Linked DNA regions of Neurospora crassa OR74A. The protein of the gene in region 1 interacts with the protein of each later gene in a pairwise test. Links are inferred from orthologs where the notes say so. Each region holds a gene or a part of one and is shown on either strand. Other genes may lie near its edges. The genes, in order: NCU02256 and NCU01695.

Region 1 (8,482 bases):
GTACACTGTTTGGGGCCCTGCATGGCGATGTAGCGATCCGGTTCTTGTGTATTGCTTGTTTCCCCATCGGCCGTGGTGAGGACCGTCGGGGGTAGGACAATAGGCGAGGCATTGATGTAGTCGATCTTGCCCTCAGGCACCTGAAGTTTGATTCGGTTGTTGTGCCAGGGTTGTATGTTGCCGTATCTGTCGAGCTGCCGAAGGTGCGGTCCCATTACGCGGGCCCAGCGGAAATCTCGTGAGGGGTTCTGTGTCGCTTCTAGGATGCGCTTGCGCTCGAGCCAGATGATTTCTTGAAACTTGTTTTCAATTTCTGTAAAACGTGAAAGGCCCTGTTAGTGTATGTGTCTTGGGAAAAAAAGTGAGAGCGCCAAAAGGCGAGCCATAGAGCTTACCAGACTCGCTTAATTCCAGGAAAGAGGGCATCTTGGGTCGGCCATCTTTCTTGAGCTGTTGCCCTGACGACGTCTTGCTCTCGGCTGGCGAAGCAGGGTGGTCTGCGGTACCGTTGGAAGCCATAACGGCGGCGACAGTCGGTGTCTGTTTGTGCGAAGCGGGAGAGGACTCGCGGGCCCTCTTGGACGAACGTGAAAATACTCGAAAGGGACGGAGCTTATGGACTGAGCGTAGCGAAGGAGTGGCGGTGGGGGTTGTTAGTTCAGCCGAAGGAGACTCGGTTTTCTCAGAAGTACTTTCTGACTTGGTGGTAGTAGGTGTGGTGATCAAACTGGGAGCGGTGATGTCTCGTTTGCGCCGATGCGGGCGTAGTCGCGGAAAGTGGTCCATGGTGGGGACGCTATAAATATGACGTCGGCGAGGAACGGTGTAATTCGACGTGCAAATCGGTTGACGGTGCCAGAGGCTACTGCGGTGACCGAGTCTGGCAAGTGAGAGAGGCTTCTGACGAGGGCACAGGCGGCCTCGGGGACTCTGCCACGCAGACACGTCAAGGTCGGGTCCACTGTGGTGCTTGGAGGGCAAAACGAAGGTGGGATCCTGTAAGGCTGTTTGACGGATGGGATGGAATGGCACGATGAGCAATACTAGGACTAAGTGAATGGCTCTTGTTTGTTGGAAAGACGAGGCTGTCCAGCGGCGATCTTCAAGGCTGGTATCGTGGTACTTGGTGAGCGGGAGAGGGAAGCTTGAGGAGGGCGGTAGTTATATCGGTTTTGCGCCGCAATATTCAAAGGCGGCGCATGGGAAAAACACAAACAAGAAGGTGTAAGAGTACCTCTCTAGTAAGTCAAGAACCGACAATGCCGATCTTGCCAAAGCGGGTGGGGCGCCAAAAGTATTCCGCCTTTGTTTCGCCGGCGACGGAGTGACAATCAAATTGTTCAGTTTCCAGGGAAAAAGACGCAGTGAGGCAGCTGGACACCTCCAGTTTGTCAAATGGACGGGACCGTGAGTTCAAGTCCAGCATGGAACAAATGACGACCAAGCTGAGCGTCGCAACTGCCTGTTATGGTCAGATGGCATCTGATGTTAGTGGAGGGACCCTACTTAGAATGGCTCGCGCTGAGCTTCCCGTCCTTGCTCCGTCCCGGGCCCCCCTGCGAGCTGTACCCGCCCTGCCGAGAGGGTTGGACACCAACTGCAGGGTAGGCAGGGGTACCCCCCCTTGACCTCTGACCAAAAGACGAGAAGAGGTCGAAACCCTGTAGACCAGGGCGACATGAAAAAAGAAACGAGAACGGCACTGCAACCGAACGAAGCAAGGCTAGAATCCTCAACAAGCCCCGTCATAGACGAACCCTGCCTCATTTCCCGAATGACACCACAGCACCATCATCAATGACCGCCATCCATATCTCTGGTCTCTCCAATCCTGGGCGACTAGCAGGCATGGCATGGCATGCTCAGCAGGAACTGCCTGGGTTGCCTCACCATGTATCAGCAAGGCCGCTCATCTGTCCGGCAAGGTACCTATTTAGAATGAATCCTGCAATGCCCACGCGACATGCCGCAACAGGAATCCTTGTCTGCGCCCCTGGGTTGCAGCAGCATGCCAGCATCGGATAGGTAGAGCTTTGAGCTACATACCTATCTTGGGCAGCATAAGATCCTAGACGAGAAAAGCAGGACGACATACCTACCGCTGGTGGCGCTTCGATCGTTTCTGGTGTGTCGATGTCGCCTTAGGCTGTAGATAGTTGTGGTGGTATGTATGTATGTATGTATGTATGTATGTATGCATGTATGTGTGTAGATAGGTAGGTATATTCTCGGAATACTACAGTATCATTCCATGACTTGCCAAATGCCAAAATGGAGATATATACGCCTTGATCATGAAACGAAACGCCTGCCACGAGATCTCAAAAAGGTGTTGGTAGGTTACATTGGTCTGTCAACTGGCTCTCATGACCGCCGCGCGGATCCCCTCCACCTCGTGGTACCTCGTGATACCATCAGATAGAAAATGAAAATTGAGTCTAATACCAGTAATCAGCTTGGGCAAACTGTAGTGTAGGTGCAAGTTGATTGTGTGAGGTCAAACATGCAGGATATATAAAGACATAAATACTCACACCGGTCGAGACTCTGTATAATTTGATGCAAGGTTTCTGTGGCTCAGCGTTTTGTAGAACAGGATGAAAACTCGACGTCTCTTGGCCGTCATCAGTTATTGCTTGGTATCTATGTCTCTACCATAAGCCATCTCTTTCTCTTCTCCTGTCGCATATACTAAAACGCACCGCGATAATAATAGTCCAAGTAAAAAAAATAAGTGGCATCAATGGCCAACACAGCACTGATCGTTCCATAATCTATCCTATTTGCCCTCCATCTTCCTCATCCGCCGGCTCCTCACTTCTTAAAGGTAGCCGTCCTGCCAGCCGCCTTGGCCGTGTAATGCGCTCTTGCGCCCTTGGGTCCTCCCTGAGACTTGTTTTCATACGGGTTAAACCTCTTATTCGCCTTCTTGACGTCCTCCTGAGTCTTGCGAGCACGCAACACCGACGCAGCCTGAGAGTAATCAAACGGCTGATCTTCCTTCTCCTCGCCCTCCGCCTGCTTAGCGGCAGCAGCAGCTTCTTCCTGCGCCTTCTTCTTTGCTTCCTTCTTGGCGGCCTTCTCTGCCCTTCGCTGGGCCTTGAGAGCTTCCTTGGCCTGCTTCTTCTTCTCCTTGGCCGCTTTCCTGGCTGCCTTTTTGGATTTCTTGGATGACTTGTCGCTTGCCTCTTCCTCCTCCTCCTCTTCTTCCTCGTCGGAGTCGTCACCTTCGGCTTCACCACCGGTTTGCACGTCGGTTTCGGTCTGAGGCGCGGAATCCTCCATTTCGGCATCTGAGGCCTCCTCTTCTTCCTCAGACTCTTCCTCGCGCTTGCGCTTGCCTCCGTTCCTAAGAGTGAATTCCTGGTTGACTATCACCTCTTCCGGCGCCGGCTGGGGCTCTGGCACCGCCTCTTCTGGTTGATCCACCTCCATCTCAGCCGTAGATCCGTCCATGAAGTCGGCCGGATACGGAAGGGTGATTTCCAACACGTCGTCAAGCTTGGCAGTCTTCGCAGCCGTGCCGTCCCAGACTGAGCTCAGAGTGACGCCGCCCCAAAATTGTGACCGGTCAGCTTTGAGCTCCTTGACGTCCGGAATGTCGCTATCGTCGGCGATGACCGCAGCAATCTTGGCGGGGGCGAGGATAGATGACTCGCTCTTGAAGATATCCATCATCTTGGGACCGTTCACACCTTCCTCCCTAGCCTTTTGAATGACGTCGAATAGATCATCCAAATGAGACTTGAGGCCCTTGGCGTTGCTATCCAGAATACTCCACAGAGCCTTCTTGTCGGTCGGGAGTATCCGGGCAATGTCGGCCAGAACCTGCTGTGTCATAAAGAAGAAGGGACTCTCGTCCTCACGACGAGCCAAGTTGTCACGCCATTGATGTACGGCCTTGTAGACGGCAAACTGCTCGCCGTTGTAGAGCGTTGGGGACTTCAACAGCACATTATACCACCCGCGGGGTCCCTGGCCGGTTTCGACGTTGTAGCTAAGGTTCTCGTATCGTTGCAGGGCGACATCCTTGGACCTCTCGAGGACCTGCTCGAGAAGGTCAGGCTTCGGCTTTCCGGGTGTTGAGCGCTCCACGAGCTCGTTGATGATCATGTCGAAGATGTAGAGCAGGTAGTGGGTATCCGACCGCGCATAGTAAAACATCTCCTCGGGGAGAGGTCTGATGCGCCAGTCCGCAAGCTGATACTTTTTGTCGGCTTCGAACTCGGCAAACTTGCTAAGCAAATAACCCAAGCTCCTTCCAGGGTACCCGAGAACGGCGCAAGCATGATATGTGTCGAAGAGACCTACAACGTAGAGACCAAGATCTCTCTGCAGCCAGATGACATCCATGAAAGCACCGTGAAGAACCTGGGTCAAGTTAGTCGATAATACAGTGAAAGCAGAAGGCCAGGATGTGTCTCACCTTGACAATGTTGGGGTTCGCAAAAACCTCATTCAGAACCTCAAGCTTGTGCCTCCAAGGTTGAAGAGTATCAATGACCCAATCCTTCTCTCTGGTACTGATCTGCATGAGAGACAACAGTCCGGTGTAAGACCTAAAATCGTGGTGCTCCAGATCAAGCGCAATTTCCTTGGCCTGCTTGAGCTCCTCCAACATCTCCAAGACGCCCTCATAAGTATCAACCCAGATGGCGGATGTCGAATCGATAGGAAGGTACTCCTTGGGTTCGCGCTTCTTGTACACATGCTCAGGGTACGGTGTCGTCTTGATCTCGGTTTCGTAGGGGTGTTTGTATCTGGGAGATTCATGTTAGCGACATGCTCTTATGATATTGGAAAGAAAGGTTAGACGTACTGTGTGTTGTTGTCATCATCGACAAAGGTGGTCAGGCTGTCTTCCAGTGACACCTTGGCATGAGGCTTGGACGACAACAGAGGCTTCCAAGGACCGGTAGCGAAGTTATCGACCTTCTTCTCGAAGTTATTCTGTGGTTTGAGAATGTTGGCTCTCTTCAAGGACCAGTCAAGACGATCGTTAGACGACTTGACGCGTTTTTGGGCGCGGCCCTGGTCGGCGGGGGTAGGCGCATCCTTCCGCTTGATCAATCCGGTGTACTCGTCGAGGCAGGTGTCGGCTTTCTCGAGCAACGAGTCGATCACGTCGACAATGTTCCGCCATTGGATGTCCACGTCGTCGGCATCTTCAAGAGCGCCAACCTTCTGGCCGGTAAGATTCGCGGTCGACTTGAGGAGCCCGTTGGCCAGGGACAGAAGGCGGCCGGAGCTGTTGTCGAGTTGACCACCGACAGTCGGGTTGACGGTGCGCTGGAACTGAAGATCCTCGCTGGCGATTGAGTTGGCGGTTCGGGTCGTAGCGACCAGGGCGGCTTGGAGCGATTCCCTCAAGCTCTTGAAGTCCAGTGAGCCGTCCATATTGGCCGGTGGTTCTGGAGTCGTTGTGGTGTGGACGTCACTGGAAGTGGAAGCCCGGTTCAATTTTCCAAAAATGGTTTGTCGTTCTGCTGCTCTTTGGGAACTTTTTTTGCGGACAGTCCCAGCATGTGGCTTGTGGAGAAAGCGCCAAAGTGAACGGGACCTCGAAAAGTGGAAGCTGCCCGATGGATGCCATCAAGTGGGCCTCGAGTGAGCTGTTCCCGCTCTGCGCTGGTAGAGGTACCTGATGGCCCATGCTGGGAAGTAGAAGCACTAAAGTAGAGAGACTTTGGGCAGCCGATTACATAAGGCCAAGGGGGCGCTTGCCAAGAGCCAAGATTGTGCTGATCTGGACCACCAACGTTCGTTCATCCATCGGCGTCCAGGCTTTTGAGATCCGTCCTGTGACGAAGTGGAAGTCCGCAACCCCATTGTTGAATAGCACCTGGTACTTGTTGGTTTCCAAGCGGACTCACCGGTGAACGTTGATATTTGAGATTCCGTACAACCGTCTTTTCCACCAAAAATATTCACCTGGAGTATCTCACGAACACCCTTCTATACGATCTTTTGCCCAAAACATAGATATACCGTCGATACCCATAAGTCATCGGACACCGTACCAAGCCTATCGTTTTGTTGGCAACACCTACGGTTGAAAACATAGCTCTGGACTTTAAAGATGTCCCAGTCACTCGCCAAGGAATGCAACGAGGCCAAGGAGTAAGTTTTTGTCCTTCATACGGAAAGAAAACAACATCTTAACCAGTTGTAGACGTTACGACACTTGCTTTCTCAAATGGTACAGTGAGAGTAAGTCTACAGGAACAGACACCCCAACTCAGTGGACATGTGTGATACTTATACTGGACAGAATACCTTAGGGGCAATGGTACCGAACAAAATAACGAATGTTCAATTCTCTTCAAGGAGTATAGCTCTTGCCTGCAGGTAGGACGCAAAACCATACAGCGCCCGTACTCTAGCATCGAGATAGCTTACCATATGGCATTTTACAGGTTGCTTTGAAAGAGCGTGGCATCGACAAGCTGCTTGAAGAGGCGCGGGAAGAACTCAAGGACAGCGACTCAACATACATGGGCAAGAAAAAATGTGAGTTTGAGCTTACGAACATGGCCAAAGTTGAAAGGATGACTGACTTGCTCAGAATACCAGAGCTGGACGACGTCTGAGTACCTTACTGTACCACTCGTCGACCAACTCCTTGAACAAAGCCGCAACAATCCAGTTATTCTCCTTACATTGCTCAATTATCTCTTCTCCGTATATATCATATATCGCCTGGTATTCGTGGAAGGACTTTCCATTATGCACACCCTCCATGTCTTGAACAAAGCCCATGTACCAAAAGTGTCACCCGCTGGTCTTTGACTGTACCTTTCTGATTATATCTTCTGTTGAGTTGTTTTCAGTGCTCTCTGTTATGGACGGAAGCCATGGATGACTTCAAGTCGGTTGAATGTTCCCCTTCCAAATAAGGTTTCCCGTCCTTGAGAAGTGGATCCTCCCCAACATCCAATCGGTTCATTACAGAGTGCCGTGCAGTCGCAGCCAGGTCGGGTTGCGCTCGGGGACTCTGGCTTCTGGGCGCTAGAACTTAGAACGCTCCACACTCCCTGTAATACTGCCTAAACTGCTTCGATAAACTTCAGCGCGAGTCTGAGCCGAGTCTGTCCACCACGACACGACACATAACGCATCTGATCGCCCTGCTCCCCCGTCCCCGTCCCAAATCAACAAGTTTTCGGCTTCCCGTTGTGCTTCCCGTCAGTACCAGCTTTGCCCGACTTCGACCTACCTAATCCAACCTCTTCGAACCGTCGAGTATTGTTTTCCCCCTCCCATTACAGCGCCCGCCAATTCCTCATATAACCGCACCCACTATCCGCCCGCATTTCCTCTCCCCACACAAGGGAAAGTGACATCGGACTACAGCATCTACCGGCCCAGACTTTTGCCGCGATCGCATGCTCGAACAGTAAGGGGCAGCGCGCCTCTATGCACCCCTTTTCTGTTCTTACACTCGGCATCTTCGTAGCTGGGTATATCACCGCCCGATGGGACCTCGTCACTCGCCTATATGAGCTTGCCATATTCGCTTGGAACTACGGAGTGGTGGTAAGTGTCACATGCCATGGGAAAGAGGGAAAAACTGTGGCACTCCGCCCCCGGCCAACCACCATTGCGCCGAAACAGCAACAGCCTGGATCGCTAACCTTGTGTGTCAATTCGTCTCTAGACTCGGGCCGCCAAGGGCTTCGGCGTGTTAAGCCTTGTGTTTCTCATCGTCTTTATTCCTGTGCAACGTCTTGCTACTTTGGAGTCGAACCTGGTACGACCACCACCACCAGCTTGCTGCTGCTGCCCCCAACCAACAGTCGATATGCGAATCCCATATACTGATAATGCTGGTCCAGCATCCGCGATCGCCAGGATCAGGTATCTCCGCGAGGGAACAACTAAGGAGAAGGGGCTCTTTCTGATTGGTTGCTTGCGATTGCGCTATCTGTCATGCCAGAGGATGATGGCTTGATGCGCGTGTTCTGGCCCACAGACCTTCCGCGATCCGACTGTAACGGCGTCGTGGTCGGCTGGAGGAACTCGGCCTTGGATGTTCTCGTGGTGGCAGTACTGGAGGAGGTTGAGGTTTGTGCCCTCCGGGTCTACAGCTGGCCGGGGATGGATGTGGACAAAAGCGCTGACTCTGTGATAGCCTCGACGTGTTGAAAGCGCGTTAAAGCTCGGTAACCTTCTCCGTAACGCCCCTCACCCAGTCAGCCGCATCTACGAACAATGCGGCAAATCGTCCATAAGCGTCTTGGGCGTCTCAAACACTCCAGACACCGTCGAGGTCGACTCATCATGGATCCGGGTTACGATAGCGCCTAAACAGCGTGTGCCTTCTGTCACCTGTGCTCGAGCGTCTAGTATCCAGATTATCCTTTTCGAGCGGCCTCTGCCAGGACGAATGCAGTACATGTCACTTAATCCGATTGCCTTGGCACTGGGAGACAAACACGATGGATTTAAGCAAGATTTCGCCGACAGTGGGGAGGAGGACGAC
Region 2 (8,394 bases), on another chromosome or scaffold:
CCATAGTGCTGGAGAAGGACACCAGAGTGGGCATCGACGTTGGGGTAGGGGTTCTTGGTCTTGCCGTGCTCGGTGAGGACCTTGGGGGCGATCTTGTAGACCTGGCTGACGAGCTGGAACATGGGGTCCTCGGGGAGGTGCTCCTGGGCGAACTTGCGCTGGGCAGAGTAGCGGGGGTCGGTCTTGCGGAGGACGGCGTGGCCGTAACCGGGGACAACGCGACCGGCGTTAAGGGTGTCCCAGAGGTACTTGGTGATGGCCTCATCGGAGAGATCGTCACCGATGACCTTCTTCATCTCGGTGAGCCAGTTAAGGACCTCCTGGTTGGCAAGACCGTGGAGGGGACCGGCGAGACCGTTCAGACCGGCAGCGACGGAGAGGAAGGGAGAGCTGAGAGCAGAGCCGACAAGGTGAGTGGTGTGGGCAGAGACGTTGCCACCCTCGTGATCGGTGTGGATGGTGAGGTAGAGACGGAGGAGCTCAACGAAGTCCTTGTTGTCGCCGAAGCCGAGCTGGTTGGCGAAGTTGAAGGAGTAGTCCTTGTCCTTCTGGACAGCAGCGACCTTGCCGCCCTTGAAGACGTTCTGGTAGATGCGGGCAGCAATGGTGGGGAGCTTGGCAATGAGGTCCATGGAGTCCTCAAAGGTGTAGCCCCAGTACTCCTTCTTGTTGATACCCTTGGCGTAGGCACGGGCGAAGGAAGAGGTGTGCTCGAGAGCGGTGACAGCGAGGGAGAGCTGAGCCATGGGGTGGAGGTCAGAGGGGCAGCGGTCGATGAGCTCCTCAATGAACTTGGGGACATCGGAGCGGGCAGCCCACTCGGCAGAAAGGTCGCGGACCTGCTGCTCGGAGGGGACCTCACCGGTCAGGAGAAGCCAGAAGAGACCTGCGTATCAAGTCAATACACAAGACCGCTTAAACACGATATCTCACGGTGCATGGTCCTGGCAAGGCGCGCAGGCGTGTGAACGTACCCTCGGGCAGGGGCTCCTTGCCGCCGGGAGCCTTGGGAAGCAGTTCCTGGCACTCGGGGATGGTCTTGCCGCGGAAACGGATACCCTCCTCGGCGTCGAGGACGGAACCCTCCCAGACAAGGCACTTGATGCCACGGGCACCGCCATAGACCTGGTCGAGAGTGACCTTGTCGACGACCTTGGAACCGTGCTCCCTGAGGTTGGCAGGACAGATCAGCAACACGATAGACGAGTCGAGAAGCTATCGACGGCTTATGCCGAGGCAGAGGTAGAGCTTACTTGCGGAGGGCCTTGATCTTCTCGATGTTCTCGGGGAGGAGCTCAGCGAAGCGCTCCTTGAGAGTCTAGTACGGCCAAAGAAGCGCGGTCAGCGGATGATGTCAGTGTGTCCCCGGCTCATGAGACTGCCTTACCTGAGTCTTGGAAGAGTAGCATCTGGCGGCAGTGAAGGCAGTCTGGCGAGAAGTGAGGTGGATGGAGGACCTCAGGGCGGCGGAGCCCAGGCGCATAACGGGAGCCATGGTTTACTGAGTGGGAGGACGGGATGTGGTGTGGTTGAGGAGAAAGGAACAGTACGGAAAGGAGAGAAGAAAGGGAAAAGGTTCAGGTTGAAGCAATCAAGGCGGCACGGGCTTGAAAAAAAAGCGCAGCCGGGGAGCAGGCAATGCGTGGGAAAATATGCCTGACCTGCCGTCGCAACCAGCGAACCAGGGCAGGTCCAGAGGTCCGTTAGGTGGCTTTGGCGGGCTCTGCTCCCGTCGCTCCTGCCGGGGGATTGGCCTGCCCCGACTGGATGCGAATTGCCCGCAATTGCCAGTGCCAATTGGATCCAATAATGTTCACGGGCGGGAGCAAATAGGCGGGGCTCCCACTCTGCTCGGGCCAGTGGACCGGGGTGTTCGGGCCAGTTCTCTCACGAAGTTGTTGTATTGTACAATACACCGGGCCGCGATGCTCGTGACACGACACGCTGCTTGATCCACAATGGCCGACTCGTAGACAGGCAGATGCTCCTCTTCCCTCGCGAATCCGCGAGTATGAGACTGGAGAAGCCCACACCGTAATCACCGTAGAGGCCGGCGCCAAATCTCCGTTTTTTGATGGATACAATATCCGGCCCTGAATGTGGTCAATTTGGATCATGAAGCTGAACATGGAACTCTGCGGGCCAAAGGTTCAATGTTTCTATCCGGATGTACGTGGAGGTAGCTTGGCCGAGCTGCCGAGCTCGAGCGGGTCAGGGGGTCGCTGACGCCGTTCTAAGGATCGAACGCGGGGCGGCTCCCACACGTGTGTTTCGGTTCCCAAGTCTCCTCCCGTCCATGCGCGCGGTAAAAGGATGGCCGACGACGGAAGACCGGAAGAATACCTGGACACGACCACGCTGAACACTTGCGGCACCGACATCATGTGCGCGTCTCTGCAATCGCATGTGTCTCGAGGGACAGCGGTTGTCAGACCAGACCTCAACATCGCGATGTCAAAACTGCTTGTTCACTCGCATCGATGTCGACACCGGCATGCATTGACGTCACGGCACCCTTTGGGCCTTTGGGACTACCTAGGTATGTACTTGGCCCTTGCGAGATCCCTAACTCATCCGGGGAAGCCGCCCCTTTTGACAGGTGTGGAAACGTTCCTGCTCCGGGTTTCCAGAAAACAATGTTGGAATTGCCAATTGATGGACGGATTGATAATAGATGAACCCGCCTGCACAATCTGTTCCCTAGCACGTCCTCGACACTCAACGCTCATCATCAATGTTCGTGGAACCTTCGGGGTTGCATGGAGAGTCGGATGGAGCACGCAACCGACTCCAGTAAGGGCTTCATCCAATCTCAGGTTGGATGTGGATCAACGGTTGGGGTTCCTAATTTACCGCAATCCGTCTCGGCTTTGTTGCCTTAGTGCCTCATGCTCTTGGTACGTGCGTCAGGCCACAACACGTCCGACACCTCTCTGCAAGGCTTTCGTTTGCTTGTAAAAAGAAGGTTTTCCGAGCCTTCAGTCACAACAGTTCGAGGCGGGTCATTCGAACCAATCAAGGCGTGATTGGGTGGCTCGAAAAAGTGCCTGCCAGTTCGTTCCTCCCCTCGGGCCACGCATCACAGCCACGGTGCCACAGCAGCACAGCACACAGGCAGCAGGGCAGGCAAACCGAAGCGACGAACGGATGCAATCGAACCCGACAGACGACTCGAGCAGAGTCAAGATCAGGGCAGCCACTACAGCCGAGTACCCACCCATACCTGCACCAACCACCGACCACTGGCACTCCCCCGTCCAGTCCACTTCTTCTACTTCTGCAACGACAACTTTTCTTTCTCCCCGCTTTCCAACCCCAACTCCCTCCTCACTTCTCGCATCACCACCACATCACGCTTTTGTCGTCATCAGCGAAAATAATCTTAAACGCCAACGGAGACCGCCTTCGTCAATCCAGCAATCCAGTAATCGACTAGTCGCCCAGGATTTGTCCATGCATCTCGACTCAGCACACGCTCACCTGGATTTTCTCACTTTCTAGTAGCCTCACAGTAAAAGGGTGCGCCCAGATCACATCCGCGCAGGTCAAGTCCTGATCTTGTCTGCCCTTCGTACAGCTGCTTTCGTTGCGGTTCTTGCACGTCGTCACAGCTATCCCCAGTTGGTGGTTTCCACTTCGCGCGTCACGTCAGAAAAATAAAAAGGACCACCGTATTCTTGCTCGCACACACGCCGGCCAGCAACATATATCTCTGGCCTCTCGGCTTCTCTTTTTTTTGCTAGGACTTTGCACTGGCCTACGGCTTCTGCGCTTGTCTTAAGACGCACAGAAAGGACAGTCTCTTCGTACAAGCTGCTCTCTTCTGAGTACCCGGTGGCGCGGGCAAATTGCAGCTTCGTAACCTCGGTGATATACGTCGAGAAGCAAGGAAAGCAGACCTTGGATGCCGACCTGTTTGAGCCTTAATCAACGTACTCCGTCTTTCCACCCGTGACAAAGGAGCATGGTATTGGCATAAAACCTTTAATCAGCCTTCACCGTATCACAACCGTACTACATCGCAGCTTGTATTTCCAAGCCCAACGGCCAAGTTGATTGCCGACTTCAGCTGGTCTTGCTCGATTTTCAAACAAAAATCATCCATCATGTTGTCGTCACAGGCGGCCGTAGCTGAACTAGAGAAGGGCCTCGGGGACATGCAAAACCTGAAACCGCCCGGTGTCTCTGGCTCGAAAATCAATAGCCTCACCATGCTGTGTTTGAACAACGTCCAGGTAAGAAAAGCGCCGTGTCTGGGCTCGACAGTATGCACGATGGAGGCACCAGAGCTAACCACACATCCTTCGACAGTACGAATCACAGCTGGTTCAGAAGTTATATACCCACTACAAGAAGACACCAAACACTCACAAGCTGGGCGTCCTATACGTCGTAGATTCTGTAACCCGCAAATGGTTGGAGAAGGCAAAGGCCCTTGAACAACCCGTCACCCTTGGTGCACAGGATGGCACCTATGCTGCCGGTGTCCATAGAGTGACTGAACTAATGCCCATGTTCATGAACGCCATCATCTCTTCGGCCCCCGAGGATCAAAAGGTACGCACACAACCGCACACTCATGTGCCGTCTTACACTTATACCTCCATTTCTGCCAAACGGACTAGACCCCGAGCACACTTGGGAGCGGCTGTAAGATCAGGCCACACCAGTCGTCTTCACTTTCCTAGACCATATCGTGCATCCATTTTTGGTTGTATTTAGTGTCCAGTATCATGTTGTTCATAAACTCACACCCGTATCGTCTTGTAGGAGAAGATCAAGAAGCTGGTCGACATATGGGAAAAGGGCCAGACGTTTCCTCCCGATATGGTCAACACCTTCAAGGAGAAGCTGAATGCTCATCAACAGCACAGTAGGTTTTGCCCGGATCCTCCTAAGCATATTCCCTTACGCGTGTGCGGTGCTCGTTGTTTGCCTGATCTAACTGTAGCGTGTGCCGATAGATGTCTCGACAACACCACCAGGCAGTCCCCCTCCCAACCCGCTGGCTTCCTTGCAGGCCACTAGCAGACCTCTCCCTACGCCTACAACTACCGCCGTAATGCCGTCCAACATCCTGGAGACCTTAGCAAATCTTGCCCGCTTGAATGCGAATGCGGCTCAGAGTAATTCCAGCGCGGCCGCCCCTGCTCCCGCCCCGGCCGCAACTGCGGCTGTGGCCCCTTCTCCGGTACAAATGGGGGTCCCGCAGATTCCTCCTGTTACTTCTTCCACGCCGCATCCCATGTTTGCTACTTCTGGCCAGCCTAGCAATGGAGCATTGCCAGCCGGATTTCTTCCCGGTGTGGGGCACCCGGGTATGCCGTACTTATCAGCATCGCAGCCGGCGGGGCAGTCGGTGAACATGCCACCGACGATGCCATTTGGCTTCCCAGCTCCGGCCGCACAGCTAGCTCAGCCTGTGCAAGTGCCAGGAGCAGCCCCTAGTGCGAATACCGCTACGACGGTTCAGCTGTTCGCCGCCCTCGCCGCCCAGGGCATCCCTCTTGACAAGATTGCCAGTGTAATGCAGCTGATGGGTCAACCAAGTGGCACCGCCCCGGCAGCACCTCCCCAGTCCGTTGCTCAGCCTCTATATGCCGGCTATCCTCCTCCTCCCCCTGCTGGCGGTGTATCTGCTGCCCCTGCATGGGAGGCCGTGAGACATGATGAATCACGTGATCGTAATGGCTATCATGATGGGATGAGGTCTCCAAATAGGCCTCGGGGTCGCTCTCGCTCACGCTCGCCGCGGCGCTGGGATGTCAGGGGGTCGCCTCGAGCCCGCGGTAACGATCGCTTTGATTATGGGCGGAGCACCCCGCCCCGTGGCCATCCGGATGATCGTGGTAGAGACCGGGATATGCGTATTCCCGAGTACCGACAACGGTCGCCCCCCAACCGTAGACATGAGAGCCCGGGTCAGGAGCCGCCCTCCGAGAAATGGGTCAAACACGATCCTACTCTTCCCAATGGTCACATCAAGGTGTATAGCCGCACGCTGTTTGTCGGTGGTGTGACGTAAGTTTGCCAAGCTGTTCTCCAGCCTATATGTGCATTGACTGACAGACATGTAGATGTTCCGAAGCCGAACTCCGCTCCATTTTTGGTCGCTACGGCGAAGTACAAACGTGCATCGTCAACAAAGAGAAAAGACATGCCTTTGTCAAGATGTACTACCGTCAAGATGCTGAGAATGCAAAGAAAGCCATGGAAGAGAACAGAGGCTCCGACGTCCAGCTGCGGGTAAGTTTGCGACTCATATCTTCGTTATTGGTCGCCAACTAACGATTTTGTAGACTCGTTGGGGTGTTGGCTTTGGCCCCCGTGACTGCAGTGACTACCAGACTGGGATCAGTGTCATTCCTATTCATAAGCTCACCGAAGCCGACCGGAAATGGATGTTGACGGCACCCTATGGCGGAAGTGGTGGCCAACCTATTACCACCGGTCTTGTTGTCGAGGAGCCAGACATTGAGATTGGCGCAGGTGTTTCGTCAAAAGCCATCAGTCGACGTATGCAGACAGACAAAGGGGGTAACCATGGCCCCAAGTCAAGCCGCCGAGATGAGGAGCCCCAGCATCCTACTGGGAACGCAGGTGGACCGCCCCCTGCCGGTAACCGCTGGCGGCATGGTCGCGAGAAGCATCGCAATAACAGTGGCGATGACAGACGCGGCGATCGGAATGACAAGAATGCAGCCAACGATGACCCGATTGTGATGGGCTTGCCTGGAAACATCACTGTTGGACCGAACGGCATCAATTTTCCTCCCAATTATGCCTTCACATCCAACAGCACGTCCAACAACTGAAGGGTTCGGTTCCTGCTGGCTCGCGGAGATAAAGGCCCAGGGAAAAGCTGAGGAAGACGAATCTGAAGAGAGAGCACACAGGCGAGGGATCAGTTAAGGGAGGAGATACCCCTTGAGATGGATAAAGAACCATGGAGAAAAAAAAAGTTACTGCTATGGGGCCGGAGGCTATCGTTATTTGCGGCGTATTGGTATTCTTTTTTCTGGGTCACTACGTTAGTAGAGGGGCAGCGGTAGGGTATTGCTCTAGGTCCGGTGTATCCTATCTGGTTCTTCTTCAAAGCAGAGGGTTGCTTGATGGTTTTGATCCTTCCGCAACTGTATACTTTATCTCTTCTCTTTCGTTAGATGTCTCTTGACGGTTTTACCATTCTGAAAACCGGTATGATAATTGGTAACCTTAGTGAGAACAAACGTACACTTCTTGTATTCTACTGTAGTCCTTGCTGAGAAGCGCCTCGTCCAACCTAATCCTGCATATTATAACGATCTATTTGCAGATTCACTGTGGTCAATGTCCGAGCTAGAATAAGTACTACTGAAGATGGTGTCTGCTCTCATTCGGACGGCATATGACAGAAATCCAGACCAAGGTCAAGTCTCTTCGAGAACGTGTTTAACATTGGCGGTATTGTGCTTCTCCAGCTTACGTATCGCGCTGTGTTTGTACAACTCTGGCAAGTCAATGCACTGGCAAGGTGTTTGCGTTTGACCTCAAACCGATGGCAAAAGCATAGTAACGATAGAGCACTAGCTCAAAAGTGCTTCGAAGATTCGCTTTTGTATTCGGATGATCTTTCGGGTACCCAAGCTTTGTGCTGACCATATGCTCAACAGTACTCGATCAACCACCACCCTTGATCCCTTTACGCCTCCTTTTCCCCTTGATAGCCGTGTTTGGCCCTACCTTCCCACTTACTGACTGGCTCGCGCCTCGCAGCACTCTCAATATTCCAACTTTATCCTTCCCTTGGCCCCTGAGTAAGCATCATCCTGTTTCATCCAAGTTAGCAATGCACTCAACTACACCCTTGCCACGAACTAGAGACTTACCTCAGCTTTCCTCTTCCTCCCCCCCAATCCATTCTCCCCGCCCATGCTCATTAATCCATTGTCACCACCATCTCCAGGCCCAACACCGCCACCAACACTGCCATTTACCTCCTTATGGCAACTGGCATGATATACCCTCTCGCCTACTTTCGTGGCGTCCATCCACACCCACTCCTGCGCCTCATCAAGCCACTTCATCTCGAATCTTTCCTGGCAGATGGGGCACATGTTATTGACTTTGGCAGAATCCTCGGGAACGGGGATGTAGTCGAGACCGCCCCTTTTGCCTCCCTTTCTACCACCGCCGTGACCGGGCATGGCTTTCCCGCCACCATGACCTCCCGAATGATCAGCACCCATGATGCCACCACCTGGGTACAGAGAGTTGGGGTTATAAGAATTATTGAAGCTCGCCTCGGGGTCGTAATCATCCTCATCCTCATCCACATTATCATCATAGTTGAGTGTATCCTGACCCGGCACACCTCCACCACGACCACCATAACCACCGGCACCACCACCAGCA

What was found.
Region 2: the proteins of NCU02256 (region 1) and NCU01695 interact in binary tests that used the Saccharomyces cerevisiae proteins (3 or more experiments, as listed by UniProt). The link is inferred for Neurospora crassa OR74A from reciprocal best matches to the Saccharomyces cerevisiae genes RRP6 and NRD1.

Annotation. Positions count from the first base shown.
Region 1 is NC_026507.1:3,160,182-3,168,663, forward strand, and holds NCU02256 (exosome complex exonuclease Rrp6), read right to left. Parts: upstream 5,531-8,482; 5' UTR 5,398-5,530; coding exon 4,820-5,397; intron 4,761-4,819; coding exon 4,427-4,760; intron 4,372-4,426; coding exon 2,815-4,371; 3' UTR 2,567-2,814; downstream 1-2,566. Other genes in the region: NCU02257 (protein-tyrosine phosphatase 2), read right to left, coding at 1-313, 396-786; NCU17251 (hypothetical protein), read left to right, coding at 6,080-6,120, 6,173-6,210, 6,272-6,348, 6,417-6,510, 6,566-6,567; NCU02255 (N-acetylglucosaminyl transferase component Gpi1), read left to right, coding at 7,930-8,064, 8,132-8,482. UniProt on the Saccharomyces cerevisiae protein: Nuclear-specific catalytic component of the RNA exosome complex which has 3'->5' exoribonuclease activity and participates in a multitude of cellular RNA processing and degradation events.
Region 2 is NC_026502.1:2,697,905-2,706,298, reverse strand, and holds NCU01695 (RNA binding protein Nrd1), read left to right. Parts: upstream 1-3,143; 5' UTR 3,144-4,106; coding exon 4,107-4,235; intron 4,236-4,311; coding exon 4,312-4,557; intron 4,558-4,770; coding exon 4,771-4,873; intron 4,874-4,964; coding exon 4,965-6,021; intron 6,022-6,077; coding exon 6,078-6,246; intron 6,247-6,299; coding exon 6,300-6,815; 3' UTR 6,816-7,242; downstream 7,243-8,394. Other genes in the region: cit-1 (mitochondrial citrate synthase), read right to left, coding at 1-886, 975-1,168, 1,254-1,318, 1,388-1,495; NCU01696 (mRNA cleavage factor complex component Pcf11), read right to left, coding at 7,761-7,808, 7,869-8,394. UniProt on the Saccharomyces cerevisiae protein: Plays a role in sequence-specific regulation of nuclear pre-mRNA abundance.